Cricetulus griseus: one gene and its partners. The protein of the gene in region 4 interacts with the protein of the main gene of each other region in a pairwise test. Links are inferred from orthologs where the notes say so. Each region holds a gene or a part of one and is shown on either strand. Other genes may lie near its edges.

Evidence for each region.
Region 1: the proteins of Ralbp1 (region 4) and Gps2 interact in binary tests that used the Homo sapiens proteins (3 or more experiments, as listed by UniProt). The two-hybrid records come from large-scale screens. The link is inferred for Cricetulus griseus from reciprocal best matches to the Homo sapiens genes RALBP1 and GPS2.
Region 2: the proteins of Ralbp1 (region 4) and Gse1 interact in binary tests that used the Homo sapiens proteins (3 or more experiments, as listed by UniProt). The link is inferred for Cricetulus griseus from reciprocal best matches to the Homo sapiens genes RALBP1 and GSE1.
Region 3: the proteins of Ralbp1 (region 4) and Reps1 interact in binary tests that used the Homo sapiens proteins (3 or more experiments, as listed by UniProt). The link is inferred for Cricetulus griseus from reciprocal best matches to the Homo sapiens genes RALBP1 and REPS1.
Region 5: the proteins of Ralbp1 (region 4) and Tsfm interact in binary tests that used the Homo sapiens proteins (3 or more experiments, as listed by UniProt). The two-hybrid records come from large-scale screens. The link is inferred for Cricetulus griseus from reciprocal best matches to the Homo sapiens genes RALBP1 and TSFM.
Region 6: the proteins of Ralbp1 (region 4) and Amotl2 interact in binary tests that used the Homo sapiens proteins (3 or more experiments, as listed by UniProt). The two-hybrid records come from large-scale screens. The link is inferred for Cricetulus griseus from reciprocal best matches to the Homo sapiens genes RALBP1 and AMOTL2.
Region 7: the proteins of Ralbp1 (region 4) and Cep57 interact in binary tests that used the Homo sapiens proteins (3 or more experiments, as listed by UniProt). The two-hybrid records come from large-scale screens. The link is inferred for Cricetulus griseus from reciprocal best matches to the Homo sapiens genes RALBP1 and CEP57.

The regions. Positions count from the first base shown.
Region 1 is NC_048600.1:83,762,284-83,766,315, forward strand, and holds the start of Gps2 (G protein pathway suppressor 2), read left to right. Parts: upstream 1-1,232; 5' UTR 1,233-1,964; exon of another isoform or gene 1,965-1,968; intron 1,969-2,164; 5' UTR 2,165-2,234; coding exon 2,235-2,328; intron 2,329-2,639; coding exon 2,640-2,749; intron 2,750-2,831; coding exon 2,832-2,944; intron 2,945-3,051; coding exon 3,052-3,131; intron 3,132-3,222; coding exon 3,223-3,305; intron 3,306-3,645; coding exon 3,646-3,799; intron 3,800-3,878; coding exon 3,879-3,968; intron 3,969-4,032. UniProt on the Homo sapiens protein: Key regulator of inflammation, lipid metabolism and mitochondrion homeostasis that acts by inhibiting the activity of the ubiquitin-conjugating enzyme UBE2N/Ubc13, thereby inhibiting 'Lys-63'-linked ubiquitination.
Region 2 is NC_048596.1:196,858,942-196,863,157, forward strand, and holds the start of Gse1 (genetic suppressor element 1), read left to right. Parts: upstream 1-1,416; 5' UTR 1,417-2,227; coding exon 2,228-3,142; intron 3,143-4,216.
Region 3 is NC_048595.1:271,596,338-271,599,131, reverse strand, and holds part of Reps1 (ralBP1-associated Eps domain-containing protein 1), read left to right. Parts: intron 1-195; coding exon 196-260; intron 261-934; coding exon 935-1,120; intron 1,121-2,333; coding exon 2,334-2,429; intron 2,430-2,776; coding exon 2,777-2,794. UniProt on the Homo sapiens protein: May coordinate the cellular actions of activated EGF receptors and Ral-GTPases.
Region 4 is NC_048595.1:454,823,408-454,827,470, reverse strand, and holds the start of Ralbp1 (ralA-binding protein 1), read left to right. Parts: upstream 1-1,263; 5' UTR 1,264-1,368; intron 1,369-4,063. UniProt on the Homo sapiens protein: Multifunctional protein that functions as a downstream effector of RALA and RALB. As a GTPase-activating protein/GAP can inactivate CDC42 and RAC1 by stimulating their GTPase activity.
Region 5 is NW_023276806.1:130,674,052-130,678,234, forward strand, and holds the start of Tsfm (elongation factor Ts, mitochondrial), read left to right. Parts: upstream 1-1,383; 5' UTR 1,384-1,470; coding exon 1,471-1,524; intron 1,525-1,722; coding exon 1,723-1,896; intron 1,897-2,555; coding exon 2,556-2,684; intron 2,685-3,684; coding exon 3,685-3,807; intron 3,808-4,183. UniProt on the Homo sapiens protein: Associates with the EF-Tu.GDP complex and induces the exchange of GDP to GTP. It remains bound to the aminoacyl-tRNA.EF-Tu.GTP complex up to the GTP hydrolysis stage on the ribosome.
Region 6 is NC_048597.1:210,966,078-210,969,577, reverse strand, and holds part of Amotl2 (angiomotin-like protein 2), read right to left. Parts: intron 3,285-3,500; coding exon 2,990-3,284; intron 2,147-2,989; coding exon 2,002-2,146; intron 1,574-2,001; coding exon 1,481-1,573; intron 1-1,480. UniProt on the Homo sapiens protein: Regulates the translocation of phosphorylated SRC to peripheral cell-matrix adhesion sites. Required for proper architecture of actin filaments.
Region 7 is NC_048597.1:127,283,600-127,287,825, forward strand, and holds the start of Cep57 (centrosomal protein of 57 kDa), read right to left. Parts: upstream 2,801-4,226; 5' UTR 2,338-2,800; coding exon 2,293-2,337; intron 1,930-2,292; exon of another isoform or gene 1,820-1,929; coding exon of another isoform or gene 1,787-1,819; intron 1-1,786. Other genes in the region: protein FAM76B, read left to right, coding at 3,425-3,511, 4,145-4,209. UniProt on the Homo sapiens protein: Centrosomal protein which may be required for microtubule attachment to centrosomes. May act by forming ring-like structures around microtubules. Mediates nuclear translocation and mitogenic activity of the internalized growth factor FGF2, but that of FGF1.

The DNA of each region.
Region 1 (4,032 bases), on a different chromosome or scaffold from region 4:
GTGTTTTGCCCGCACATATGTCTATACAGCCTGTGTATGCAGTGCCTGCAGAGGCCAGGAGAAGGCATTAGATCCCCTGGAACTGGAGTTACAAACAGGTGTGAGCTGCCACGTCGGGGCTGGGAATTGAACTAGGGTCTGTGGAAGAACAACTAGTGCTCTTAGCCAGTAAACCATCTCTCCAGCTCTCCTGCCCCTCTTATTTTGTATTTTGCTTTGCTTTGAGACAGGGTTTCTCTGTGTAGCTCTGGCTGTCCTGGAACTCACTCTGTCCACCAGACTGGCCTCAAACTCAGAGATCTCTCTGCCTCTGCCTCTGCCTCCCAAGTGCTGGGATTAAAGGTATGCGCCACCACCAACACCATTGCCTGACTTGACTGCCTGGCCTTGTTCATTTGTTTTTTTAAAACAACAGGATTTCAAATAGCCCAACCTGGCCTCCATCTTGAAGCTCATCTTGAACACATGTTCCTTCTGCCTCCACCGACAGCCTGAGCACTGGGATTGGAAAAGTGCATCACTATGTCTGGTTTACATAGAAAGTATATGCCTACCAAATCTTTTTTTTTTTTTTTCCTCTTTTTGAGTGTCCTGCATCAGGTGCTGCATTTGATCCCTAGCACTACATAAACTGTTCCTGGGTATTATATGTAACACATGCCTGGAATCCTAACACTAAGAGTCAGAGGATCAGAAGTTTAAGGTTATCCTCCACTTTTGTAGGGAGTTTGAGGCCAGTCTGGGATAGAACTCTATATGTCTCAAAAAAGTGGGTGAAGTAGATGAGAAATGCACTTGGAATGTGTAGAACAAACATGAAATAAGAGTCCCAGGGTAAAGGAAGAGGGCCATGAAGAAGTTAGATGAGGAGGGCTCGGGAAGAGAGTACTACACATAGAGAATGGTTGGTGCTAAGCTATTCATGGCGAGATCAGGAACAGCAAGGTCTGGGTGGAGGGGGGCAGCATGAGCAGTCATGGGGCTTAGAAGCCTTAACCTCCTCTTGTTTCTTCTTGTCTAATAGATTCCGGGACCCAAAATCCCAGCGGACACACCAGGCTCAGGTGGCCTTTCAGGTGTGCGTGCGCCCTGGCTCCTACACTCCTGGCCCTCCTTCTGCTGCTGCCCTCAGAGAACTTCCTGACCAGCACTTCAGCCCATCGGAACTTGAGTGGGTCACTAAGGAAAAAGGAGCCACACTCCTCTATGCCCTGCTGGTACGGGTGGAATAAGGGGTGAGATGCCACTACTACAAGCACAGCTGGGTCTCAAGCCTCCACCTCATTCCAGTGACTTACAGCATGGATAGGTGCTTTCCTGGCAGGAGGAGCACATAGACAGGCTTTGATTAGACCAGGTGTGAAGCACATCTCTACATTCAGGGCCCAGCACACTCCCTCTGCTGAGAGGGAGCTTGTAGGGAGCCCAGCTCCAGGCTCTGGGCCCCCCCTTCATGCACTGATTTGTGGAACATGACTCCCTATTACCCTCCCCCATATCACTTAATTTATTTCCGTTTTTGTTCTGGTTACTGTGAATCCCAAAGGAGTCTCTCTGTGCCCACACGAAGCTGCTTTTTCCGTGGCCACGGGGTGCCATGGGGCGGGAGTGGGGAAGGAAGGGCAGGCAAGGAAGCTGCGGGCCCTCTGTACAGTTGTTACTGACTCTGATTTCTAAGGAGCCAATAAATACTGTCTTCAGAGTATGTGCCTCTGCTTCTGTCTCCCGCGGCCTCATGAGGTGAAGAGTTCCGAGGGCTCTTGGCATGAGGTTAGATCTTCCCAGGCCTCTAAACCCACATGGAATTTGGACAACCCGGCACCCGTCTCCAAGCACTTCCGCCTTTTCTTTCATCCAACCCGCTGAGGCGGCTTCCGTCATGACTCCGGAAGGATTTATCCTGGCCGCCGGATGTGACGCGGGAATCAAGGCGCGCCGGAGGCCACGGAGAAAGCTCCGAGAAGGCGGGTAGGGGGGTTGGCGCCCGGGCTGCGAGGGAGGGGCGGGGGCGCGGAACCTAGGACCCCCGCGCGCGCGCTGGCGCTGAGGCTGAGACCCGGGGGAACGCTGGTGCCCGGGACACGTGACCGAAGCGGCGAGCGGGCGGCGGACTAGCTTCCGCCTTGGCGGGTCTCAGTCCATCTAAGCTCCCACTTCCCTGCAGGCCCCGCCTGAGGTCTGGCAGTCAGTGACAACAGCCGGGCACCCACTGCCCAAGCGTCATCAACAGCACCATGCCCGCACTCTTGGAGCGCCCCAAGCTTTCCAACGCTATGGCCAGGGCTCTGCACAGGCACATCATGATGGAGCGGGAGCGCAAACGGCAGGGTGAGCCAGGGCCAGAGCGGGAGGACAAACACGGCCCAGGGTGGCTCTGCTACCCACGAACTTGCCCCCATCCACGGGCCAACCTGTGCGCCTGCTGGCAAGGCTAAGAGGGAGGAAGCGGCGCCTTCAGGGTGTGAGCGAAGAGGCCCAGTCTAAGTTCCAGAGCCCTGGGCTGGGAAGGACCTTGGAGAGCAACTAATGAAGCCTCCTTCTCCTTATGGCTGTGATGGAATAACTGGTTTTTGCTGGTCTTCAGTGTAACACTCAGCTTATTTTCACTGTCCTGCCACTTCCCCGTTCTGATTCTTCAGAGGAGGAAGAGGTGGACAAGATGATGGAACAAAAGATGAAAGAAGAGCAGGAGAGAAGAAAGAAAAAGGAGATGGAAGAGAGGATGTCACTAGAAGAGACCAAGGAACAAGTAAGTAACTCCTCATTACTGCCAGTTCTGGTTTCTTCTTCTCTTCCCTTTCCCCACTGTTATCTGCTCATCCTTCTTCCAGATTCTGAAACTACAGGAGAAACTTTCAGCTCTACAGGAGGAGAAGCACCAGCTTTTCTTGCAGCTCAAAAAAGTTTTGCATGAAGAAGAGAAACGGAGACGAAAGGAACAGAGGTGTGATGATCAAAGTAAAATTGTGTGGTGGAACAGGTGACAAAAGAATCTGTTTAATAGCAAAAGGAGGGCTACTTACTGACTGCCCTGTCTTCCTTTCACTCCAGTGACCTAACCACTCTGACATCAGCTGCCTACCAGCAGAGCCTGACTGTTCACACGGGAACTCACCTCCTCAGCATGCAGGGTGAGGACTAAAGAAACCACCTGACAGAAGGGGCTCTCCTGGAGGTTGTAGCCTCCTATTTCAGCATCATGAAGCCCCTCTCCCTTTCTAGGGAGTCCTGGAGGACACAACCGCCCAGGTACTCTCATGGCAGCTGACAGAGCCAAGCAGATGTTTGGACCCCAAGTGCTTACGGTGAGGATGAGTCTTCTTTGAGGATTTATTTATTTATTTGTTTGTTTATTTATTGCGCCCTAAGAAGTCTTTTATAAGCTCAGGCTGACTTTGAAGTCACTATGTAGCCAAGAATGGCCTTGAAATGTAATCCTGTCTATCTGTCATCATGCCTAGCTTGAGAAAAGGCTTGGACGTGTAGTCCCAGTTACTTGCTCCTATATTGCTGGCACCCCAACCATCATTAAAGTACAAACATACCAAGCATGTAGTGTGTAGGAGCTCAGTTGAGCATAAGGACATATGGAGTGAGTTTTTTCTAGGTGCTGTGTAAGCAGTGAGTTTTCATTTTCCCTCTAAGACCCGGCACTACGTGGGATCGGCAGCTGCTTTTGCAGGAACCCCAGAACATGGACAATTCCAAGGCAGTCCAGGGGGTGCTTATGGAACTGCTCAGCCCCCACCTCACTATGGACCTACACAGCCAGCCTATAGTCCTAGCCAGCAGCTCAGAGGTGAGTGTTGGTTCTCCTCGGAGCAGAGGGAAGAACAGCAAGACCAACAAGAGCTAATGGATGTCTCCTACCTTCCCAGCACCGTCGGCATTTCCTGCCGTGCAGTACCTATCACAGCCGCAGCCACAACCCTATGCCGTGCATGGCCACTTTCAGCCCACTCAGACAGGTGATAATCCCCTGCCTGGGCAGGAGCCCTAGCTTCCTGAGTCCTATCATTACTGCTCATTTCA
Region 2 (4,216 bases), on a different chromosome or scaffold from region 4:
ATATATTAAGCCGTGGATATCTGCGATTTCTGCTGCAACACTTTTAACAAGAAGGAAAAGGGCACAGAGAGATTGAGTTCTTAGTCCTAAAACACACAGTATCCTTCCTACTCCTTCCTATTCCTACACCCTAGGTCCCTACGGTGACCCGGTGGGCCCTGGCCAGTCAGGGTGGGGGCAGGCTGTGAGGACTCTGTCTCCAGGGTGATGCAGAAGACAACTCCTTTTCCTTCTGTCTCTAAAAACTAGGGCATTGAACTCAGAAAGGTGACCCCAACCCTGGGCTACTGAACGGCCAGGACCTCCCCAGGTTCTGGGGGAGGGGGTGGGGGTGCTCTTCCCAAGTCTCCCTTGGTACCCATCGGTCCTCACCTGGCTCTAATGCGTCCGGCTTGACCTTTCCTTAAAGATCAGCGGCAGCGGCTGATGGGTTTCGTGGGTCCCAAAGGAGACCCTTCAGACAGCCCGAGCCACGGGCTGCAGAGCCCCTAATTGGAGCAATGAATCACTGCGGGCTCCTGCTGGACACAGAATAGACAGAGGAGCTGAACGCTATTGTGCCATAGTTTGGGACACAGGGGGGTGAGAGAGGATGGGGAGGGAAGACGGGGGTGGGGGGCGGGTTGGGGAGAGAAGAGGTCAGGGGAGGAGGAAAGAGGAGGATGGAGAGGACAGGATGAGTCAGGGGAGGAGGGGCGGAGAGGAGGTAAGGGGAGGAGGATTAGGAGGAGGAGGAGGCAGGGGAGGAGGGGACGGAGAAGAGGATTAGGAGAAGGAGGAGTCGGAGGGGGGGGGAGGGAGGAGGAGCCCGGGTGGAGGCGGGCAGCAGGGCGGCGCGAGGGAGGGCTTCCCCGCCTCCGCCTCCCTCCCGCGCCCTCCGCCCCGCGCCGCCCCGCCTCCCTCCTCCCAATTAAATGACCCGACGCTCTGGCCGGCGCCGGAGCTCGCACATGCGGCCGCCGCAGCCGCCCGGGGCTCGTCGCCACTGCCGCCACCTCCACGTTCCGGGCGCGCTCTCCGGCGCCGCCTGGGCCCGCACCGCTGCCAGCCGGGGACTCAGCAGCCCCAGGCACCGCCGCAGAGACCCTCCGTGCGCCCCGGGCCGCGTGCGCGCCGCCGCCCGCCAAACTTTGCGAGTTGGGCGCGGGGCCTCGGGCGGCGCGGCCGGAGCAGCGGCAGCCGCGGGTAGCGCGGAGGCGGGCGCGGCGGCCGGGCCATGAGCGGCCGGGCGGCGCCGCTCTCCCGCAAGCAGCGGCTCATGGCAGCGGCGGGCGCGGCCCTGTCGTGCTTCATCTGCGGCGGCGGCATCGCGCGCGGCAAGGAGCTGAAGCTGCCGGTGAGGCCGGCGGGCCCCGCGCAGCCCTTCTTTCCGTTCCTGCAGCAGCAGGAGCCGGCGCCCGGCGCGCGCGGGCTGAGCGCGGCCGATGGCTGCGTGCTGGTGTGCGCCGTGTGCCGCTGTTTCCTGGCGGAGCAGTGGGCCGCCTTCGAGCGCGCGCGCACGCCCGTGGACAAGCGCGTGTACTGGCTCAAGCGGCCGCACCAGTGCGACGCGAGCGCGGGTGGCCGGCGCGGGGCCCGCGAGTGGAACGCCGAGGACGCGCGCGACTCGGAACTGTCGGAGCTGTCGGACGCCGACGCGCTACCAGAGCCGGAGCCCGAGCCGGAACCTGAGCCCGAGGATGCTCACGACGCCACGAAGCCCGGAGTCCGGCGCCGACGCACGGGCCCCGGGACGCACTGGACTCCGGAGCCGCCTCGGGCCAGCGTGCTGAGGGGCGTCCAGGAACCCTGGCCCATCCCCACTGCCCCTGACGGCACGGACAGCGCCGCCTCTAGCCGGGCCGCAGGGCCCCCAGAGCGCAGCAGCACCCCCGAGGGCAGCGACGTCGCTGGCAGCCTCGGGGACGAGGGCCTGGAGCGGCCTCCCCCGACGCCCGCGGACAGCCAGGCCCGCTGCTGCTACGTCTGTGGGTCGGCGCTGTCGCCGGCCTCGCAGCAGCAGATCCACGTGCAAAAGCAGGAGGCGCCCTCCCAGGCGCCCTTCTTCCCCTTTCTGTGGCTGCATAGCCCCCCGCCCGGAGCCCAGCCCATCACTGAGGCTGGCAGCACCCTCGTATGTCCCTGCTGCTTCTCGTCCCTCACGCACCAGTGGCAGAGCTTCGAGCTGGCCAACGTGCCTGTCCTGCAGCGGCTCTACGTGGTTCCCCTGAACAGCCACGCCCCCGGCATGGCCTCCAAGGCCCGGAGACTCCCCAGAGAGGAGGGCCCCCCCACTGCCGCGGGCCTGCTGCGGGAGGCCTGCTACCTCTGCGGGGAGGATTGTACACGGGATGCCCGGGCAGTGCCCTCCCGCATCGTCAATGGCAACTCGGGCGGCTCCATGCACTTCCCTTTCCTCAGCCTCCTGCCTTGCCCACCCAATGCTCGGCCCCCCAACAAGCACTGCGAGGTTCGCAGCTGCCCCAAGTGCTTCAGCGTCCTGGAGGACGTCTGGGCCCTGTACCGGGCATCACACAACCGTGAACTCATCAACTCTGTGCAAGGCTTCCTGGGCAGGTACCACCAAGCCTTCTCGGCCTCGGACCCTACTCTAAGCGATCTGCCCGCTTCTGCACAGGGAGGCCCGCCTGCCGTCTGTTACATCTGTGGGGCTGAGCTGGGGCCGGGCAAGGAGTTCCAGCTCAGCATGAACCCCGCTAGCCACCTGGGCGAGAAGGAGCCCTTCTTTCCTTTCCTCACTGTCTATCCGCCCGCCCCACGGGCCAGGCCTGCAGACTCCACCGGCCTGGTGGCCACCTGTGTGCTCTGCTATCATGACTTGCTGGGTCAGTGGCTGCAGCACGAAGCCAGAGCCGCTCACCAGGCTGTCAGCGCCTGGTCTAGGCAGTACCAGGTAGACACGTTCGTATGCTTCTTCTGCCAGCAAGAGAAGAAACGGTGTCTGGGGCTGAAGTCAGTGAGGGTGGCCAGGCTGCCCTTGTTCCTGTATACCCTGAGAGCCAGCCACAGCCTGTTGGTGGATGATGGCCGGCAGCTGATCATTGGTGCCTGCGTGGAATGTGGGACCCTGGTTTGTGCAGGTCAAGGGCTTGTCAGCCAGGGATCCATGGGCTGGAGCTCCCCAGCAGCAGGAGCAACAAAGGTAAGCAGTAGCTTTCATCTCAGAGCATCTGTGTCTCAAAAGGAGAGATGTTTTCTGTTCCTTGGCAGTATCATTGGTTCTGTATGGAGTGTCCCAGCAGGAGGCGTTCTCTTTGCCTTGCTAGCTTGGCTGACCTTGGAGGCCTGGGGCAGGAGGTTAGAGGGTCTGGGGGCAGGGGTGGAAGAATAGCTGCTGCTGGAATCAGCAGGCATGGGGCTGAAGCTGGGAGTGTTTGCCACGAATCTATCAAACGGAGGAAGTTCAGGGCACGGCTGTTGTCCGCCCGATAACATTGGTAATTAGTGTAGCCACGCAGGTCACCCGGAGGTGGCTAGTTCCTCTGACGAGCTCCTGGCTGCCTCGCTCTTCCCAAGATTCCCACCCAAGTGCATTTCGTTTGAGTCTTCCTGGTGGCTTTATGAAGCAGATGGCAACAGATTCCAGACGTGTAGGCGTGGGACACAGGCTCATGGGACCCAGGATGGTGGCCTAGACAACCTTTGCAGTGGTTAGTCTCTTCAAGTCAGCTGCGTGGAGCTGAGCCGAGGCCTGGGGCCTGTTCTCAGGATGCAGCTGTCTGCCTGGTAGGAGACAGTCAGGGCACTGGGATGATAGAACCTAGCTTTGTAAGAAACTGGGCAGGAGCTGGCCAGGTGGCCCTGGGAAAGGGGGCAACAGGCAGGGAGGCAGGCAGGCAGGCATCTGTGAACTGCACTCACTGTCCTGCCCTTGGGCTGGGATCCTAATTCCTACCAAACAGACTGTCCTGTCCTGGACAGAGAGAGGCCTGTGTGGCAGTGACTGGCCAGGGACCTGCAGAGAGACATAAGGGTGGTTAGGTGGGTCCAGTTCAGGAAAGGCTGTGTGTAAAGTATCTGGTTCCTGCAATTGTGTGTGTGTGTGTGTGTGTGTGTGTGTGAGAGAGAGAGAGGGGGGGGGGGGAGATATGCCTGGGCACATGGAGGCTGACCTATGAGGCAATCTTTGTTGTGCCTGGGTGTCCCTTTCCCAGGCTCACAACCCCAACTGCCTCACGAGTTGGCCTTGGTCTTGAGTTGCCTTTAAGGTTTTGAT
Region 3 (2,794 bases), about 180 Mb from region 4:
CAAGGCTAACTTTGAACTAGCTTCTCATCCCCTTGTCTCTGCTGCTAGGCAACTAATCTACCACTGAGCTACAACCTCAGCCCCTTGGAAAGTTACCAAGTGCTCTTAGAACTGTTTTGTCATATGGTCACATTCATCTGTTTCTTCTCCAGTAAAGCAATTATATAATCACTAGAGATTTGCATATTCATACAGGACAGCAACAGACTGGAGCTGTTGCCCACCCTCCTGCAGTGCCTCCAAGACCTCAGCCCTCACAGGTAAGTCTCCTGTGTACTTGGTACAAATGGCATTTGCTGCCATCTTCAGGATCAGCTTGTGCCTTAGACAGCTCATTCTATTTATTACTATCTGTAAGGTTGGCACTTAAGTCAGTGACAGTAAGTATTCTTGGAAGCTAAGGATTCCAGTAATGTGGGTTACTAAGAAACAAATAATGCTGTCTTAAAGGGTTTAGCAGAACAGTGGGTTGGGAGATAGAAATATCTGATAATGTCCTGTGTCCATCACCAACTCATAGACAGAATCCACTCTTATCTCCCTGGACATTTGCATCCCTGCTAGGTCAGAACTGAAGTGCTACAGTAGACTATTTATAGAATAGTTCAGGACAGCCTTGGTGGCTTGTAAAGTTAAAGAGCATATTGAGAAGATAAAAGTGAAATTAAGGAATTAAGACCCGGAAGATAAAGAGGTACTTGCTTCAGAAAGGGCATTCCAAAGAACAAGAATGGCACCCACAGAGGCATGGGTATGATATATATATATGGAGACTGGCATCTTACTGAGAGAAAGCCAAGTTCAATACGACTGATAGATTGTGTGCATATGTATCTGGGGTATTCGCTGTAAAGTATTACTAATTAAAGAGGAACACGGTGACACTGGCAATGCTAATAAAATGCATGTTCCTGTTTTCTAACCCATTGTACAGGCACCTGGTCCCTCAGTGCATCGGCCAGTGGATGCCGATGGTCTAATAACTCACACTAGTACCTCACCTCAGCAGATACCAGAACAACCAAATTTTGCAGATTTTAGCCAATTTGAAGTATTTGCTGCATCAAATGTAACTGAAGAACAAGACGGTGAAGCCGAGAAACATCCTGAGGTCTTGCCAGTGAGTTTTCTGGAGTTCACCTAATTTGTGACAGTCTCTTCCCATATGCTATAAAGAGGACTCTTGAAAAAGCAGATTAAATTAGCAGAGGCCTAAGTGAATAAAACACCTGCTGCTGCCTCTTTTGGAGGATATGCATTCCCTAGATCCATGCTTCTCAGATACTTGATTGGCCTCTAACGACCAATGGTTACACTATTATATAGTAAGATTCAGGGGTCAGGGCCTGGGGTGTGTGTGGTGTGAAAAACACACCCCTGGCCCTGGTTAACACTGCTCTGGTTGTAGGACTTGATGAAGACTTCCCTAGGATAAGAAGCTGTGTTTACCATAGCTACACACTCCAGCAACACACACACACACTCCCAAAACACCACCATGTCTAAACTTAGTTTCATAGAGTCTTCTAACTTAGTTTCATAGGCTCTTCTAGGAGACTAGTTTTAGTGTTCAGGAATCTGGTGGCATTGTCTGTGTTGATCTAATTTAAATCATTGAAAATATATATGTGGCTGGCCTTTAATCTCAGCACTCAGAAGGCAGAGGCAGGTGGATCTCTATGAGTTCGAGACCAACCTGGTCTACAAGAGCTAGTTCCAGGACAGACCAAAGCTACACAGGGAAACCCTGTCTCAAAAAAAAAAAAAAATATATATATATATATATATATATATATATATATATAAGTGGAGTTGGAAGGAGAAAAGTAGTACTGACCTTTCCTTTGTGATTGCTCCAACTGTTGGACATCTAACAGGTGAAACAGCCCATGCTAATTTGACTGCATACCCTAAAGATTTCATGAGTCTGACCCATGGGGAAGCTCTTTTTGGCAACCCCTTTAGCTCACCTGGCTCATTAGAGGAGTGGACTGTGTCTAGGAAGGTGGCGTGGATATGAGGGCAGAGGCAGATGTGCACAGGAGACTGTCATTCATTTGCTTGGATGGATGTGTCACACACACACCAGTCTCAAGTGCCTCACAGCAGCCAGCCACAGTCAGTGCCTTTGGCAGTGTCTCTACTCTCAGGTTTTGTTTTCCAACTTGAGTGCTAGAGTAAGTCATTTGGCAAAGTTTTCTCAGTATGGCTCATCCTCACCTCATACTGATTTCCTGTCAGTATGAACAGCTCCTAACATCTTACTTTGTTACGTGGTTCTGTGCCTTGCTACGTATAATTATATAGTAATGAGATACTATATTCATCTCTAGACTGAAAAAGCTTCTGACCCCGCAACCTCTCTTCGGATTGCCCAAGCAGACGGTAAAATTGAAGAAAAGACAGCTGCTAGTGTTCCTGCCAATGTGGTATGAAAAGTCTTTTTATACTGTGGATAGTTTTGTGTGTAAGGGGACTGCCCAGGTGCTTTAGGAATAAAGGTGGCTAAGCCTGGTGCAGTTGCTGTGGATCTTGAGTCCAGCAGCAGGGAGGCCAAGGCAGGGGGGGTCACGAGCTCCAGCCTGGGCTGCATGGTGATAATCATTTGTTCCTGTTTTTCCTTAACTGTTGCCACAGATACATAAAGTGTTTTAAAATGAGACAAGTAACCTCCTTTTTTAACAGCAGTGGCTTTAAAAAGGCAATCAGTGTTAGCAAAATGCTAATTAAGCATGAATGCCACTAAGAATGCTCATTTATTTCTCTCGTCTTTTAGAGCAAAGGCACCACACCT
Region 4 (4,063 bases):
GTGAGGGCAGTAGAAGTGACCACCGGTAATTACTCGGTAGGCCCGCCTCTCCCCACCCCTCTACTCTGCGTTCACTTAACCCCTCTCTGGAGAGGACTCCAGGTAACGCTCTGCTTGGGTCAGTCAGTGCCTGTCCCTTGTCGGAATCGGCGGGAAGGAATGTCTCCAGTGGCGTGCTCTCACAGGGCCGCGTCCTCACGGAGGCCAGCTGACTGCCAGGGCGCGGGAAGCTTCCTGCAGACCCTCAGTGGCTTGGGCAGCACAGCTCACCGGGGACCACAGCGGCCAATCTAAAGGGGCGGGGAGGTTCTGAAGGTGGCTCCTGGGAGTGATCGCGAAGACGTCGCCCTCCAGAGACCCCATTTCTCTTCTTTCTCTCAAGGTCACACGGCCGGCAGACTTCAGAAGGCGGCGGCCTTTCGCGGCTCGCCCTGCACGGGCGAGCACTGCCCCCAGCCTGCCCGAGGGTCTTCTGTGTGCCAGCTGCACACGACGCTGTGACTCGGTGCCGGCAGGAGGGTGGGGCAGCACCCGTGCCGGTGGCCTCGGGGATGCTGCGGCGGCCCCGCACCCCACAAGCTTGCTCCCCGGCTGCAACGCCGGCAGAAGGCATTCTGCACACCCAGGGAAGGCCAGCGCGCTGCTCCGCCCAGGGGCGGGGCGGGCCGGCCGGCAGCCCGGGCTGGTTTAACCGGTTGGAGCCACCGAGGTACGCAGACAAAAAAAAAAAAAAAAAGTGTCCCTTCAGGAAGCTGGGGACACCAGGCCAGAGCTGGAGGAGGAAAGCGCGCTCTCTCCGGCCGAGCACTGCGGGGCTCCCAAACTGCGTGTCTTCGCCGGAATCCGCTCGCTCCGGTAGGCGTGCGAGCCCCTCGCTGCCCAGGACACTGCGCAGGCGCCTGCGAGCCTCAGCGCTGGGCACGTCCTCTCGCGGGTTCCCTGTCGCCCCCCGCACCCGGAGCCAGCGCCTTGCAGCCCTCGGGAGGCGCGGTGCTTTCTGGGTGTTGTGGTTTACGTCCGCGGCAGGGGCCTCGGGCGGCGGGGGTGGCCGGAACTACAACTCCCGGCGCGCTCCGCGCGAGGCCACGGGGCGTTTGCCCGGGACGGCCTTCGCCGTCAGAGCCCGGAATCCGAGGACCCGGGAAGCCGGCCGCGGCGGGAGGAGGGCGTGCGCGTGCGCGCTGGGCCGGCCCGTCCCGCTCCGTCCCAATCATTGTAAACAGGCGGAGGCTGGGCGGGGTGGGGATGGGGCTCCCGCGGCCGGCCACGGGGGCAGCGCGGGCGCGGCGGCGGCGGTCGTGGCGGCGGCGTGAGTGCGAGCAGGCGGCGGCTGCAGCGGAGTCGGCGGTCGCTCGGCGGCAGGCGCTGGTCAGTGGCGGGCGGGGGTCGCGGCGCGGGGGCCCGGGCGAGCCGTCTCGTGCCCGGGCGAACCGGCCTGGCGCCCGCGCCTGTCTGTCAGGCGGCGTGCAGGGCTGGGGACCCGGGGCTCGGGGCTGCAGTCGGGGGTGGGGGGCGTGGCTGTCGCTCGCCGTGCTCTCCGGGAAGGCTCACCCCGCAGCTCGCACCCTGGGGTGGGTCGCGCCGCCCGCCTTCCCCTCCCCTCCCCTTCCCTCCCCTCCCGGGCAAGCGCCGGGGGCGAGCTGGGGAGGCAGCGGCTTCCCGGAGCCTCCAGGCCGCGGGGCGTCTCTGCGGGCCACGCCTGGCCGCAGCTGCACCTGGCAGGCTCACCTGTGTGTCCCGCGCCGCCAGCTGCGGTCGGGGAGCGGCTCCTGCTGCCGCTGCCGCTGCCGCTGCACGCGGCGGGCCTGGGGCCCCGGGAGCCCCCGGTGCAGAGCTCCTGCAGGGAGGGGTGCAGGCTTCGGCGGCCGGACCTGGAGTTCGGAGCTCCAGGCTCCCCGCGCTGGAGAGTGTGTTTGTGTGCCAGTGATTTTCTTACCGAAGACCGGCATTCGTCTTTAAAATACGTCGCTGGGAAACAGGTTTGACAAAATTTTCCACTTGGCAGCCTTCTGAGAGTAGTGCCGGTTCAAGTTTGGAGATTATCTCGAGCGTTCTTCCGGGGGGAGAGCAGCTTGCACACCCCAGGGTTTAGTGTGGTTCCTGAGGACCATTGACAGGAGTGAGCTGCTGCACTGCCCAGCCTCAGTGGTTTTAATGGAGTGGGTGTGGGCTAACTGCCACCATGCTTGGCAGTTATTCACAACATATGTACGTGATGATAAGGCCCACTTTTCCCTTGGTGTTGAGGTTGCCAGCACCTGTAAAGGAAGAAACAAGACTGGGAACGAAGAAGGTCACACCACTTCTGTGGTAGGAATTTACCTTGGTAATGTCAAGATCCGAGTATCTTCCCCCGAAATGAGTAATTCCTGTCTGCGGTGTTGGCTTTAACGGGGTGGGAGTCAGTGGAGTGGTTCCCACAGCCTCTCACAGATGGGGGGGGGGTAAAAATAACTTTTTTTTAAAACAAAGTATCTAGACACAAGGTAAGTGAATTTGCTGTCTTTACAAAAGGTGGCTTCTCAGAGTAGAACTTACAGGAACCATTTTCTTAATAATTTAGAAAAATAGAAGTAGTGTTTTAAAAAGTGTGCATTGGGCTAGGCGTTGGTGGTGCACACATTTAATCCCACCACTCGGGAGGCAGAGGCAGGCCGATCTCAGAGTTTCAGGCCAGCCTGGTCTACAGAGCAAGTTCCAGGACAGGCTCCGAAGCCACAGAGAAACCCTGCCTCAAAATCTCCCCTTCCCCCCAAAAAAGCAAAAACAAAAAACAAAAACAAACAAGGCTTGGTTCTCTGTTCATTTAGGGGAAAACGTTGCATGTCTGAAGGCACAAATAGTTTATTAGCTATTTATAATTGGCTTGCTGCTCTTGAAGCTTTCTGGGGTTCCGTTGCCAGCTTCCTGTAAGTCCAGTTCCCAGGATAATCCAACAGCTCTGGCCTCCACGGGTAATTGCACACCTCTCCTGGGATCAAAAATAGTAAGAATCTAAAGAAGCAAATATTTATCACAGTTAATTTGCACAGTTGATTGCCTGGCAGAAGAGATTAGTCCAGAACACTGCCCAAAGTGTGTTCTGTTTTTTTGGTCTTTATTGAGGGGAGGAGGCACAGGATCTCACTGTGTAATCCTGATTGTCCCACAGCCTCCTTAAGACCAGACTGGCCTCAAACTCACAGAGATCTTCCTGCTTCTGGCTTCTAAGTGCTGGAATTTAAGGCGTGCACCATCATGTCTAGCTGCTCTTTTCTTTTAAAAAGAAAACCCCTGATAGAATTTGTTAGTATATGTAAGACAGAACGTGGGGGAAAATGCAAAAGTTACTGTGTTTAGAGTCTCTGCCGAGTGAAGAGGACTTGAAGATGGTTAAGACCATCTGCTTTCAGATAGTCAAGTGTATCTCTTGAATTGTCAACAAGTAATAACATATATATATATTTTTTACATGGTTTTATACACATACATACACAGAGACTTGCTGGGGATTGAACCTGGGGTCTTGGACACATTAGAAAAGCACTCAACCGTGTGCTACAATCCTCAGCACATAAACTACAATATGTTTCTAAGATTGCTTTGTAGGAAATATGGAGGCTCTGTGAATGTATACAAGAGGTGATTATCTGTTTCCTAATGGAGAAGCTATGGAAGAGGGCAGTAGTTAGAAAAGGGCCATAGATAAACAGTGATGAAAACATGGGCTGAGCATACCCAGGGGAAGATGCCTGACATACAGCTAGACAGCTATAGAAATCATGGGCAGTTAGATAGGGAATAATGTATGTCAGGCTAACTACACAGTAGCATCCCCAAGGGTGTGTGTACTTGTGTGTGTACCTCAAATGTAGCTGGAGCTGCTGGTGGTGAGACATGAAACTGGGGAGATAGTCTGTATACCACCAGAGCAATTTCAGCATTGTCCCACAAGGAAATAGTCATTGAAACAGAACAGAGCAGGGGAGAGGATGGGGGTGGGAGAAACCGGTCGACTGGCCCACCTATGCTAGTCCAGCCAGTGTTTAATCCTCTGTTACAAATGTTACGTCCTTAAGGATCC
Region 5 (4,183 bases), on a different chromosome or scaffold from region 4:
AACTCAAGAGGCAGAGACAGACGGATCTCTGGGAGTTCAAGACCAGCCAGAACTATATATTGAGACCCACACACAAGAAAGTCGAAACCAAAACCAAAAAACATCCTTTAACATTTTTTTAAGGGTGAGAAAAAAAAGAGCATTAATCATGTCTTCACACCCCCAAACATGTAGCTATTGAGGGAGAGCTGGTACCAAGACACCTCAGAGCACCTGTGTCTTGCCTGTTGTAAGAAGACTCTAAGACAAGTCCTCCTAGACCTGAGTCTGGGGACAAACACCAGAGCTGTCCCTTTGGGCTGTGGCTTCTTCATCCTTTGCAAAGTTCAAGGCCTGATCACAGAATATCGTGTACCCAACTCTGGCTTGAGTTCTAGGTTCTTCTGACCTCTTCCAAGTTCAGTTTCCCTTCCTAACTTGTTTTACCCTCACATCTCATCTCTTCCCTCAGAGCTGTCTGGGTAGGGCTCTTTTCACTTACTGTTTAGGCACACAGTTGTCTCTGGTGTGTCCACCACCACTTTCTTAACCTCCAAACCATTCTTCAAATTCTTGCAGCCTTCCAAAACCTGCTGGATTTAGTTTCTACTGCAAGAAGGAACGTGTCAGCTTGGTACTCAGGCTACACCGGTGTGCTCACAAACTACTTTGTATTTCATTTCCAACTCCTCTTGTACTGCACTTTTAGCCATGCCAAAGTCCTACTCTTTGTTCCCTTCCCCTAACTCCATAGCAGCATTCCTTTCCTTTTCCCATCTTCTGATGAATTCCCTTAAAATTCACTCTTTACTTCTGGAAAAACAAAAAAACAAAAAAACCTCCTTTTCCTGACTCTTCTGTTTGGATGTGATTTCCTTCTTTGGGAGCTCTTTTAACTATTTAGGAACCTTATCTCGTCTTACCTGATTCTTATTTCCTCACCAATAGATAACCTCGGAGCACAGGGCTGTGGTTTATTCATCACTATCTCCCTGAAACTGGCAGCAGCTCCGGGCACACAGGTGTTCAGCAGATACTTTTGCTAATTCAGTAATTATTTATTCATTTTGTTGAAGGACCTCCAGTTCACCTCTCCAGGTGACCTTGTACGGCTTCCTGAGCCCACCTACCTACCTACTTTTGACTCCCGTTTGTTCTGAGTCATAAATGAATACTCAATGTGGAAGTACACTGGAAATAAAGAAACATAAAATATTACCTACGTGTCTTGTGTTGTTATTTTGTGACAACGCTATCGTGCCGTTTTTTCTGTTTTACCCGCGGAGGGCCAAGTCTTTGATGATTTTTTTTTTTTTGGTGATATGTTTTAAAAAGCCAAGCCAAAGAGGCGATATACTCCTCCGGCCTGCAGGTGGCAGCATCCTCGCTCGACACGTTCAGGAAGGAGTTTTGGCCCTCGCGCCACGCCGTAGGCCATCGTCTCACGCGTGCACGGAAGGGCGGGAGGGTGGATCGAGGCTGCTGGAGAGGATGTTGCTGCTGCGGTCGCTGCGCTTCTTCCCGGTCTTGTGCACCGGCCGCTCGGTGAGGGCTCCTGGCGCGGGTGCTAAGCTGCGCTCCCGGGTGTCGTGAGCGCGTCCTTCCTTCTCCCGACCCGAGCTCGGCTCCTTTTCACCGTGCTCGCCCACAGTCCCTGAGGTCTGGCCCTGCGGACATGCTCCCCCGCCTCGTGTCCAGCTGCGGCCGCTCCCGACTGCTCATCCCTCTCCTCACTCCCTCCAGGCCGGGTCTGCCCTGCTGCAGCCGTCCCAGCCATGGCACACGCTTCACGCGGGCCCCACGCTATCATCGTCTGCCTCCAGCAAGGAGCTCCTTATGAAGCTGCGGCGGAAAACGGGCTACTCCTTTGTCAACTGCAAGAAAGCTCTGGAGGCTTGTGACGGTGATCTCAAACAGGTGGGAGGAGGTGCTGTCCCACCTGGAGCTCGACCTCTACTTTTCTTTAGGGGCCACTCTGGGGAGCATAAGGTGTCCTTAACGATTGAGCCCAAAGAGAAGAATTTGGCTTAAACGATAGCTTCACCTTTCGGTTTCGTCTTCAGTTTACCCAGACTCCCAGAGTTAACTGACTGTATTCCATATTAGAGGGCTGTGGGATTTGCTGCTGCTTGCGTATCAAGTGTTTGTGTAAATTTTGAAGTTAGACGCCGGAGGACCCCTCTCTATCACACACACTGTAACTTTGTACGTTGCAATTAATCCTTTAGAGTTGTATCAGTGTTGTCTTTATAATGAAGACACTGCCATCAATCCCATAGTGGGGTTGTGAAGATTAAAGTTATACAGGCGCCGGCTACATACAGTGCCTGGTGTAGAGCATTAGTAGTAGACTAGTTTCTGTTATAGAACGTGGGAGTGCAGAAAGAATCGTTGACTTGGATATATTTTTGTTTGTTTTTCGAAACGGGGTTTCTCTTTGTAGCCTTAGCCGTCCTGGACTGACTTTGTAGACTAGGCTTGCCTCGAATTCACGGAGATCTCCTGCCTGCCCTGCCTGTTCGGATATATTCCTAATTTCTGTGACTGGCTTTTTCCTCTTTCTTTTCCATTTGTAGGCAGAGGCCTGGCTGCACAAGCAGGCCCAGAAGGAAGGCTGGAGCAAAGCGGCTAAGCTTCAAGGGAGGAAGACTAAAGAAGGCTTGATTGGGCTGCTGCAGGAGGGAAACACAACAGTATTAGTAGAAGTGAGTTGTTGGGGAATCTGTATGCTAGAGACAGCTATGTCTGGGAGTATAAGGTTTGTGGTAGATCCTTCGCCTGCTTAAGGAATCTGAGACCACAGTGGTGTTTGGAGTTCAGTTCTCAGGGCCTGTGTTTAAGTGTGGACATGCACAGCTGTCTTGATGGAAAAATGCCTAGCAACCTAATCCTTCCTAAGTGTAAATCCAATGCAGCCTTGTTACCTGGAGCTGGTAGATTTAGAAGCTAGCAGCAGGGTGTGGTGGCTCTCACCTGTGGTCTCAACACTTGGGAGACTGAGGCAGGAGGATTACTGTGAGTTTGAGGGCAGCTAAGCTACAAAGTGAAATCCTGACCTCCCCTAAAAAAAAGATAAGAAAAGAAGATTGATTGTAAAGTCAGTAGTCATATTAACTATTACTCTGTGTGTTGATGACTGATAAGTTGCAGATTTAAAGAAGGCCAGATGGCCAAGACTGGTGAAAAAGCAGACGCAAATAAGGCTACAGTAAAGTAGTGAGATAAACAAGTGATGGTAACAGTGGTTTGGAGAGTGGGCATGGTGGTGCGTGGGTGTAATTCTAGCACTGGGGCAGTAGAGGCAGGAAGATCAATTCAGGGTCATCCACAGCTACTTACTGAGTTCAAGGCCAGCCTGAGACCCTTTCACAAAACAAAAAAGGTTTGGAGTTGGAAGGGGTTAATGGATGAAGTGATTATGGTGTGTTGCATAGGCAAGTAGTGAACTGACGGTGAGTCCTTCAGGGTGTTCTGGGATCCTCTGGGGTATGCAGGTTGTTGTCGACTCCCTCCATGGCAACAGTCACTTCCCTGGTCTCTGCCTCACCAGAAGTAGGGAACTGCAGCTTTAAAACCTGAGGCCATTTTTTTCTGTTGCGTCTGCAGCTTGTCCTGTTGATATCTTGGCTTAATCTCCAACTGCAAGGCACTTTTAGAAAACTATCTGTAAACAGCTTATACAGCAGTATCCATTTGTTTCTACAGGTAAACTGTGAGACAGATTTTGTCTCTAGAAATTTAAAATTTCAGCAGTTGGTCCAGCAAGTTGCCCTGGGAACCATGTCCCACTGTCAGAGCCTAAACGATCAACTCTCCACATATACTAAAGTGAGTTTGAAGGTTTTCTCCAGCTTCCTGTTGTTGCCCCTCACCTTAGGGCCTGTCTGTCGGGAAATATTATTTTAAGGTGTGTGACTTTTGTTTATGCTGCATTTGTTTAACTCTGTGAAGCTGTGTTACTGTGCCTATTTAAAACACCTGCTGGTCTAATAAAGAGCTGAATGGCCAATAGCAAGGCAGGGTGAGACATAGGCAGGGCTACAGAGAGGATAAAGATGAGAAATCAGGGAGAAAAGGATTGTGGAATGAGAGAGGAAGGAGGAGGACTTCAGGGGCCAACCACCCACCTACATATCCAGACATGGAGTGAGAAGGAAAGAAAAGGTATACAGGAGTAGAGAAAGATAAAAGCCCCGAGGCCAAA
Region 6 (3,500 bases), on a different chromosome or scaffold from region 4:
CCAGAAGTACAACGTCTAAGATACCTTGGTAGGGAGTGGGTGGCTAAGCCTGCTTAGCAGGCGCCCCATATTCAGGATCCAGTCACCCTTTGTGTTCACCCTCTCTCCTCCCAAAGCCAGGCTGGGCGCCGCCGGGGCCGAAGGGCGCCACTGTCAGGCGCACATGGGAGGGAACAGAGGGGGGCCGGCCGGGAGCGGAACAGCCCAGAGGCTCTGGAATGCCAGGCATCCAGGTCACCCGCGGCTGCGAGATTAATGGCTCCAGCAAGAAGCCAAGAACAGCCTGGCGCTAGCTCGCTCCCCGGGGAGCGGAAACGCCTCCCGGCTGCTTCTGCCCCCCTCCCCCTCTGCAGGCTTCCAGAAACCCTCCCTAAGACTTCCTTTCTTTGCCAAAGCCTGGGCCCAAAAGCCGCCCTTCCTACCAGAGCACCCCCATTCTCCCTTCCCCTAGCAGTCGGTCCTCTGCAGACTCCCAAGGGCAACCTAGGCGACACACCTCCTTCCCCCCTCACCTCCGTTCCAGAGACCTTTAGCCACTGTCACCTCATTTTGAAAGGTAGTGGATAGCTCAAGTCTTGCCCAACCTGGGCCCATTTCCTGCCAAAGGCTGATTAGCAAGCTCTCGAGGGCCCTAAGTCCTTGAAGCAAGAAGAGGACACTGCCAGCAGAAGCTGTCCTCCCCTCTCTAGATGCCCCTTAACCAAGTACTCTAATTTCTTCCCTTCTTCCCTACAAGCCTGCCACTCCCCCTCAAGTCTGATACCTTCCTCCTTCCCTGCAGCCCTGCTTCTGCTGTTCCCACACATTTCCCCCCATCACCAGGGGCTTCCTAATCACCAATCTCCAGGATCATGAACACTTTTTCTCTCGAACCTGTGGGAACCTGGGCGCGCGGGCCTTAAGCTTATCTCACCTCCCTGCCATTTTCTGGGCGAGTTCCCACCCTCTGCCCAACACTGGCCCAGTGCTTAGCTCAGTTCTGCTAATGAAGGAATGAATGGATTAGTCTATAAAGCCTCCAGGATGCCTGCCTGGGCCTCCCTGTTTACAGAGAAGCCTGAATGCTTCCTTTAGACTGTAGCTGTGGACTCGGCCCATTTGTGGCTATCCCAGGACCCTCCATCAATTCCACCATACTCTCCAGATTCTTGTATCCTCAGCCTTTTTGTTGCCTGGCATTCCTAGGAAACTCAGAAGATCCCTCATTGTCCTCTATTTAACTACTGCCTTGGCTGTCCGGGCCTCCCTGCAGGAGGGACCAATGCTACGCTGAAGGTCACTACTGTGTGGCTCAGCCAGTCACTGGTTCCTAGGGCTTGGGGCATCTTCAGAAACAGGTCTTTCCCATAGCAGTCATTCAGTAAATCTGTTCTTGCAGTGCCACTCTACAAGGAAGTGGGTTAAACCTCGAGGGACTGGGGTCATAGTGGCCTCGTTGCCTGTACAGCCAGCTAGATTTCTTAGCAGGTCCCCTACTTACTCTGAGCAAGCAGCTTGGCCACCATGTCCTGACTGCCCGCCTGGGCTTCCTGTGTCTTGCTTGCCAGGTGGCGGTTTGCAGATTCCAATCTCTCTGTTTCAAATAAAGAGATGTTTTAATATCAAGGGATGTTGCCAGCCTGGGGGTTATTCTGGGGTTCTTGTTTTTGTTTTTTTGTTTTTGTTGTTTTGAAACAGGGTTTCTCTGTGGCTTTGGAGGCTGTTCTGGAATTAGCTCTTGTAGACCAGGCTGGTCTCGAACTCACAGAGATCTGCCTGCCTCTGCTGGGATTAAAGGCCACCACCGCCCGGCTATCCTGGGGTTCTAACTGTGAGCCTGTATCATCTGAGCTGGGGATGGGCTCATAGAAGTCCCAGCTCAGATCAGGTACCAATGATGGGGACTCATGGGAGCCTCTACAGTACAGAACAGAGATTCTGAATCCCCTCCACCCCCTAAAACAGATCCCCAAAGTCCTCAGATGTTCTCCAAGATCCCCGACCCACAATCCTAATTCTCACCTCTAAGATCACGGTTGAAGTCCTGCAACCGCCTCATCTCACTGTCCATCTTGTTTCTCATAGTCTTCTCCAGGGCCTCCCGCTTGGAAGAGGTCCTCATCAGGCTCTCATGGGCCTCAGACAGCCTCTGAATTTCATTTTCCAGCTGTAAAAGACAGACAACGAACTGAATGACAGGAAGGGTCCCAGGGAGTAAATGAGGCCAGTGGCTCCATACTGAGATAATCACAGGACTTCAGCCTCTTAGGTAGGGCAGACTGCTGGGATTGGATGCTGCCTGGACCCAGGGCTAAATGCTCTTCAAGGGGGCTACCTCCAGTCTGCCCCATGCCCAATGTTTATAAGAAGCATTTCATTTCTGCCTAGCATTGTCTGATAATCTGAGTGCAATGGACCAGGAATGAGCATATTCTAGTTGGTTCAACCTATCTAGAACACTGTAGATAGACAGTACAGGAAGGCCCGAGGCTTTTGCTAAAACTGAACCTTAAACACAACTGGCCAGGCTTCACCAAGGAAGGGGGTAGCCAGACCCCAGCCTGAGCTGCCTCTCACCAGAGCATGTGGCTGCCCCTCCCACTTGGAAGCCACAGGTCTTACACGTGCTCCTAGCTGGCTTGCTATGCCAACACGCTGCTTTTTCTTTTCCCTAAGAGGAGGGGCTTTCTCTGTGGCCAGGGCTGGCCTGGAACAGACTGGCTGTTGTGTGGGCGCACAAAGGGCTCTCTGTGGGAGGTGTCCACGGGAGGGGTTGTGCAGGGTGGTAGTGCAAGTGTGGAGAGAGCTAGTGAATGAGTTCTTTCTAACCACCACTGGCCAGCAACTGCTCATGCGCCAGGGCAAACTGCTCGGCTGTTCCTCAGCTGTCTGGAGTGAGCTTGGGGTGTTTTGAGGGGGATGTAGGACAGAATTTGGGGCAAGAAGCAGCCTGATCGGTTTTCTTGCTCCTCTGCCTCCCCCAGCCTCCAGAGGCCCTAGGAGTCTCTACCTTCTCTATGCGGCTGGCTTTCTCTGCGGTGCTCTCCAACTCTCTCTGCAATCTCTCATTGTCCCTCTGCAGCCTGGCGTTCTCCCTCAGTACACTCTCCATCTGGGCCAGGTGGGCACTGCCCGAGGCAGCCTGGGAACTTGCTGGTCCCTCCACCGCAGGTGGACTGAAGGAGCTTGGGGGAGCATGTCCTAGAGCAGCTGGATGAAGGGGTGGGGAGTGCTCCTGGGGCTGTTGCAGGTACTGGTACTGCTGCTGCTGGAGGAACACTGGTGGTACTTGGGCCTGGAGGATCCTGGAAAAGAAGAGGCAAAGCTCAGAGACCAACTCACACACACTCCCTGGCTATTACTATTGCCAATGACTGACTCAGCCTCCCCAGTATTAGGCAGCCACCAGTGGGAAGGGCCTGGGCCACACGGTACCTGCCTGAGATACAAAAATGTCAGAGAGCAAGACCGGTGCGGGGTGGGACAGCATCCCAGTGCTTTTTCTGTTCACAGTTGCCCCA
Region 7 (4,226 bases), on a different chromosome or scaffold from region 4:
AGAAACTGCTAGAATTCCATCATTTAACATTCAAAGTAAGCTAAGAGATTTTACTGTAGAATTCCCCCTCACAAAATCAGCAGAAGCAACCCAAACCAAATAATCAACTAGTTCTAAATAGAAAACCCATGAATTAGCTCTTCAATCTGCCAAAACTGCAGCAAACAAAAACCTTGTCTGTCTCAGCTTACCCTCTTACCCTCTCAAAGTCTCACCTCCTACAATTAAACCCCTCTTGGTACCTCTCAGTCCCCTGTCCACTACATTTTTCCCAGTGTCATAAAAGGATAAAAACAAAACCTCTTCCTGAACTCCAAGACTCCTCAACCTTAGACTGATTTCTGACTTTTTAAAAAAAACACAATCTAGCCAGTGGATAAAGCTGCTTGCTGAACAAGGTTAATGACCCAAGCCAGCTCCCCAGAAGCCACTAAGGTGGAAGGAGGCAATTTCAAAGCTGTCGTCTGACCTCCAGGAGCAAACTGTGGCATGTGCACCACACACACATTCTCATGTACACACTAAAAAAACTAGAAGCACGGATCACAGAAATCATTTATCTAAGCATTTTACTCAGTGGAGGAAGCAACAGTGATTTCCCTTCAATCTCCTAGGTCTCTTCCTCATAAACTCCCTGGATCGCTCCTCCCGCTTTTATTAAATGTTAGAGTTTCCCAAAGTTTGATTCTTAAGGTTCCTTTTATGTCTACATTGATTCTCTTTTTTTAAAGAAATCTCATCTACTACAAGCCTCTTAATTTTTATTTGCCAGCAGCTTTCAAGTTAAAATATGGAACTGAGATCTAAATCTAAAACTCCAAACTCACATCACTGATTACCTACTTGGATGTCTTATCAGGCACCTAAAATTTAACTCCACTACAACCAAATTCTTGTTTAGTTGCCAAATCTGCTCCTCACACACAATACCAAAACAACTGGCACTGCCATTTATGAAACTGCTCTGTACAAAACCATTGTGTAGAGTCATTTTCATTCACTCAAATCTAATCTCTCTGCAAATCACTCAGGGGTCTTTCTCTATAACACATTTAGAATCCCTACTACTGCAGATATTGCTGCTGTTTTTTTTTTTTTAAGTTTGAATAGCTATGAAATTCTAACTGTTCTTCACGCTTAAGTATGCTCTCCCAAACAGCTTGCTAGTGATGATCCTAAAAGGAGTGAGAGCTTCAAGTTAATATTTCTAATCAAAACTCTCCTATGGTTTTCCAAAACAGAGCACAATCCCGAATTCTTACCATAAAACCTCCACATAATGTAGTTTCTGTTGTTTCATTTCCTGACACACACATTTGATACTGTCTCTCTACCAATTTTCCAAAAATAGGGCCAAAAGAAAATAGCAGTGCACAAAATACATATACTTTCCTATTGAACAGGCTTTAGGATTTCAGTTGTGCGTACCAAAAGGACTAAGGATTAACTACATCTTGTCTCCTATATAGTTTATGCACCCAGACACTTGTTTCTGCCAGTCTTACTTTTACCCTTTATCAATCTGGTCCGTGAAGAACTCCCAATTGTTTGCTTCTCCACTCCTGGATCTTTGTCTGCTAGACGCATTGTGCTGAAAACTTGAGACAGTCTGGCCTTGTTAGCACAGGTGGCCACAGAAAGCTGAAACTGACATTCTTAAGTGTGACTGCACTATCTAACGGCCTCTCCCTCATCTGTTATGAAATTATCCCGATATTCTGACTTCCCTCATTAGTCAATTCTTACTTGTTCTAGTTCCTCTTGCCCAACTCTACCTCTCCATTACCTGTTTATTACTAAACCCGCCGGTGTGCAGCATTTCCAGAGTCCTAGTAATCCGCAAAGAAGCGGGAAGGCGCGGGCTCTGGCTGCAAGGGTCGCCGCGTAACAGTCACCGAGAAGCACTGTAGACAACGACGAAAATGCACTCGGGGGCCTCGGACGCCCCGGCGGCCGCCACTCAGCAGACCTGCACACCTACCTGTTCTCCAAAGGTATCGGAGCGGGGCCGTTACACTCACGTGATCGACAGAGCTTTGTTTTCCCAGGCCTGGGAGTGCAGCAGCCCGGCCAGAGCAGAGCTGCCCGGCGCCGGCTGCCAGGCCAGCGAATGCAAGGTGGGAGTGGAGGCGGGCAGGGCTGTGGCTCCCTCCCCAGGACGCGGGTGCAGCCTCCCGGAGGGACCGTGCTCCGGAACCACTGCTAGCGCCAGGTCCGGGATAGCCGGGAAGGCGGGGCGACCCGGAGCGCCGTCCCGGCCCACCTGGGACCCACGCGAACACCGCCGCTTACCGAAAACTGAGACTCAGAAGCCGCCGAGACAGAGGCGGCCGCCATCTTCCCGCCTGCACGACGCGGGCCGCCGACCTGGGGCTTCTCCTCCGGATTCGACAGCCGCCCGCCTGGGGCGAGCTGAAGCCTAACCCCAGATGGAAAGGGCGGGCGCGCTGCGAATCCCCAAGGAGCCCCGGCCTCACACTCCACAGGGACGCCACGCACTGCGATCACTAGAAGAGCAGCGCGCCTTGACGGATTTCCTCATTGACCAATCAGAAAAGAGGACATCTTCGGGCGCAGGCTAGGGCCCGCCTCTCCTCTCGGTGACGTCACAAGGTAGCGCGCCCCTGAACCTGCGGGAGCCGCGTCGCTGGGAGTTAACAGACGGCTCCGAGTACTCTGGAAAGGGCAGTGTGTCCCGGAGGAGGAAGCAAAGACTCGGGCCGCTGGAGCCTCCAGCGGCTGCCAGGACGGAAGACGGGAGCGGAGTAAAGGCGAGTGTACGTTCAAACACTCCATCAGGACCCCAGACACTCCAGAGAACGTCCGCCTAACGCGACGCCTCCCCAGGTGAAGTAATGGCCTTCCGGCCAATGACAATCCAAAGTGGGTGGGGCTTAACGGCATGGTCCAATGGAAACCGTGGGCTGAAAAAAAGCGGCGCTTCGTGACTTATGGCCAATGGGCTCAGGCGAGCCGCCCACACCAGGACTGGCCGCGGCTTGTAGGCGGGACCTCTTCCGAAGCGGATTTCGCGCGCTCAGAGCACCGGTCTACTATTGGTGGTTATTATCCTCTCTTTGTGGGCGCTCCCTGCGTAACCCAGGCCAGGGGTTGGGCGGAGCTTCCGAGTGACGTGAGGATCTTTGTGACCAATCATAGAGGGGGACGCGAGGCCGAAGAGGAAGCGGAATCCGCAGACCAGCGCCCGCTTCGTCTCCCTCCGCCGTGTTCCGGGCCTAAGCGGGAGCAGCGGGGCGGGCGGCAGCGGGTGTCCCGGGACGGCGGCGGAGGCGGAGGGAGACACGGGAGGGGGGGGGCCCGGCGGTCGCCAGGCAGGGGCCGCAGCGGCAGAAAAGCCCGCGGGCGGGGCAGCCGAGTTCCCGGAGGCCCCGCCTGAGCGCGCGCGGAGGAGCCCGAAAGCAGGATGGCGGCGTCGGCCCTGTATGCCTGCACCAAGTGCACGCAGCGCTACCCCTTCGAGGAGCTGTCGCAAGGCCAGCAGCTCTGCAAGGTCGGTGGGCGCCGGGGCCCGGGGATCAGGTGGGCGAGACGCGGGTCGGTCGCGTCCCGCCAGCTCGAGGCTGGGGCCGGCTCCGCCTCGCTCGGCGGTCTCGGGTGGGGCTGAGCCGGGCAGCCACTAGTCCACGGCGTCGCAGAGACCCGGTGCAGACTCTTGCCCCAGCCTTGTCAGCCCTCTCCTTCCACTGGGAGGCAGGGCTTCGTGTTTGCACTTTCTTGCTAGGATCCCGAACCCGAGGCTGCAGAGCTGACGGCATCCTGCTTCCTGTCCCGGAAAGCGAAGCGACTGGTTTGGGAACAGGGTGCTCTGATTTGGAGCTCCTCCCATCCCATAAAAGCTGGGACGCTGTCTGTGAGCAACTGTACAAAATAACACATGTAACCTCCCCTGGGAGTCAGTCCTGACAGCTTCCTTGATTTAAATGTTCCATACCCCCCCACACACATCCAAAAAAGATAAAAATATCTATGGCCTCCCTGTGGAATTACACTGTGACTGGCTGCTGATAGGATAAGTCACCCAGTTGTTTATTGACGTTTCAGACACTTGACTAGATTGATTTCTACCAGAAAAGTGACATTGGGTCTGTGAGATAAAACTGACTAATGTATTATCTTATTACAGGAATGTCGGATTGCACATCCTATTGTAAAATGTACTTACTGCAGATCAGAATTTCAGCAGGAGAGGTTTGTATACTAAGCAC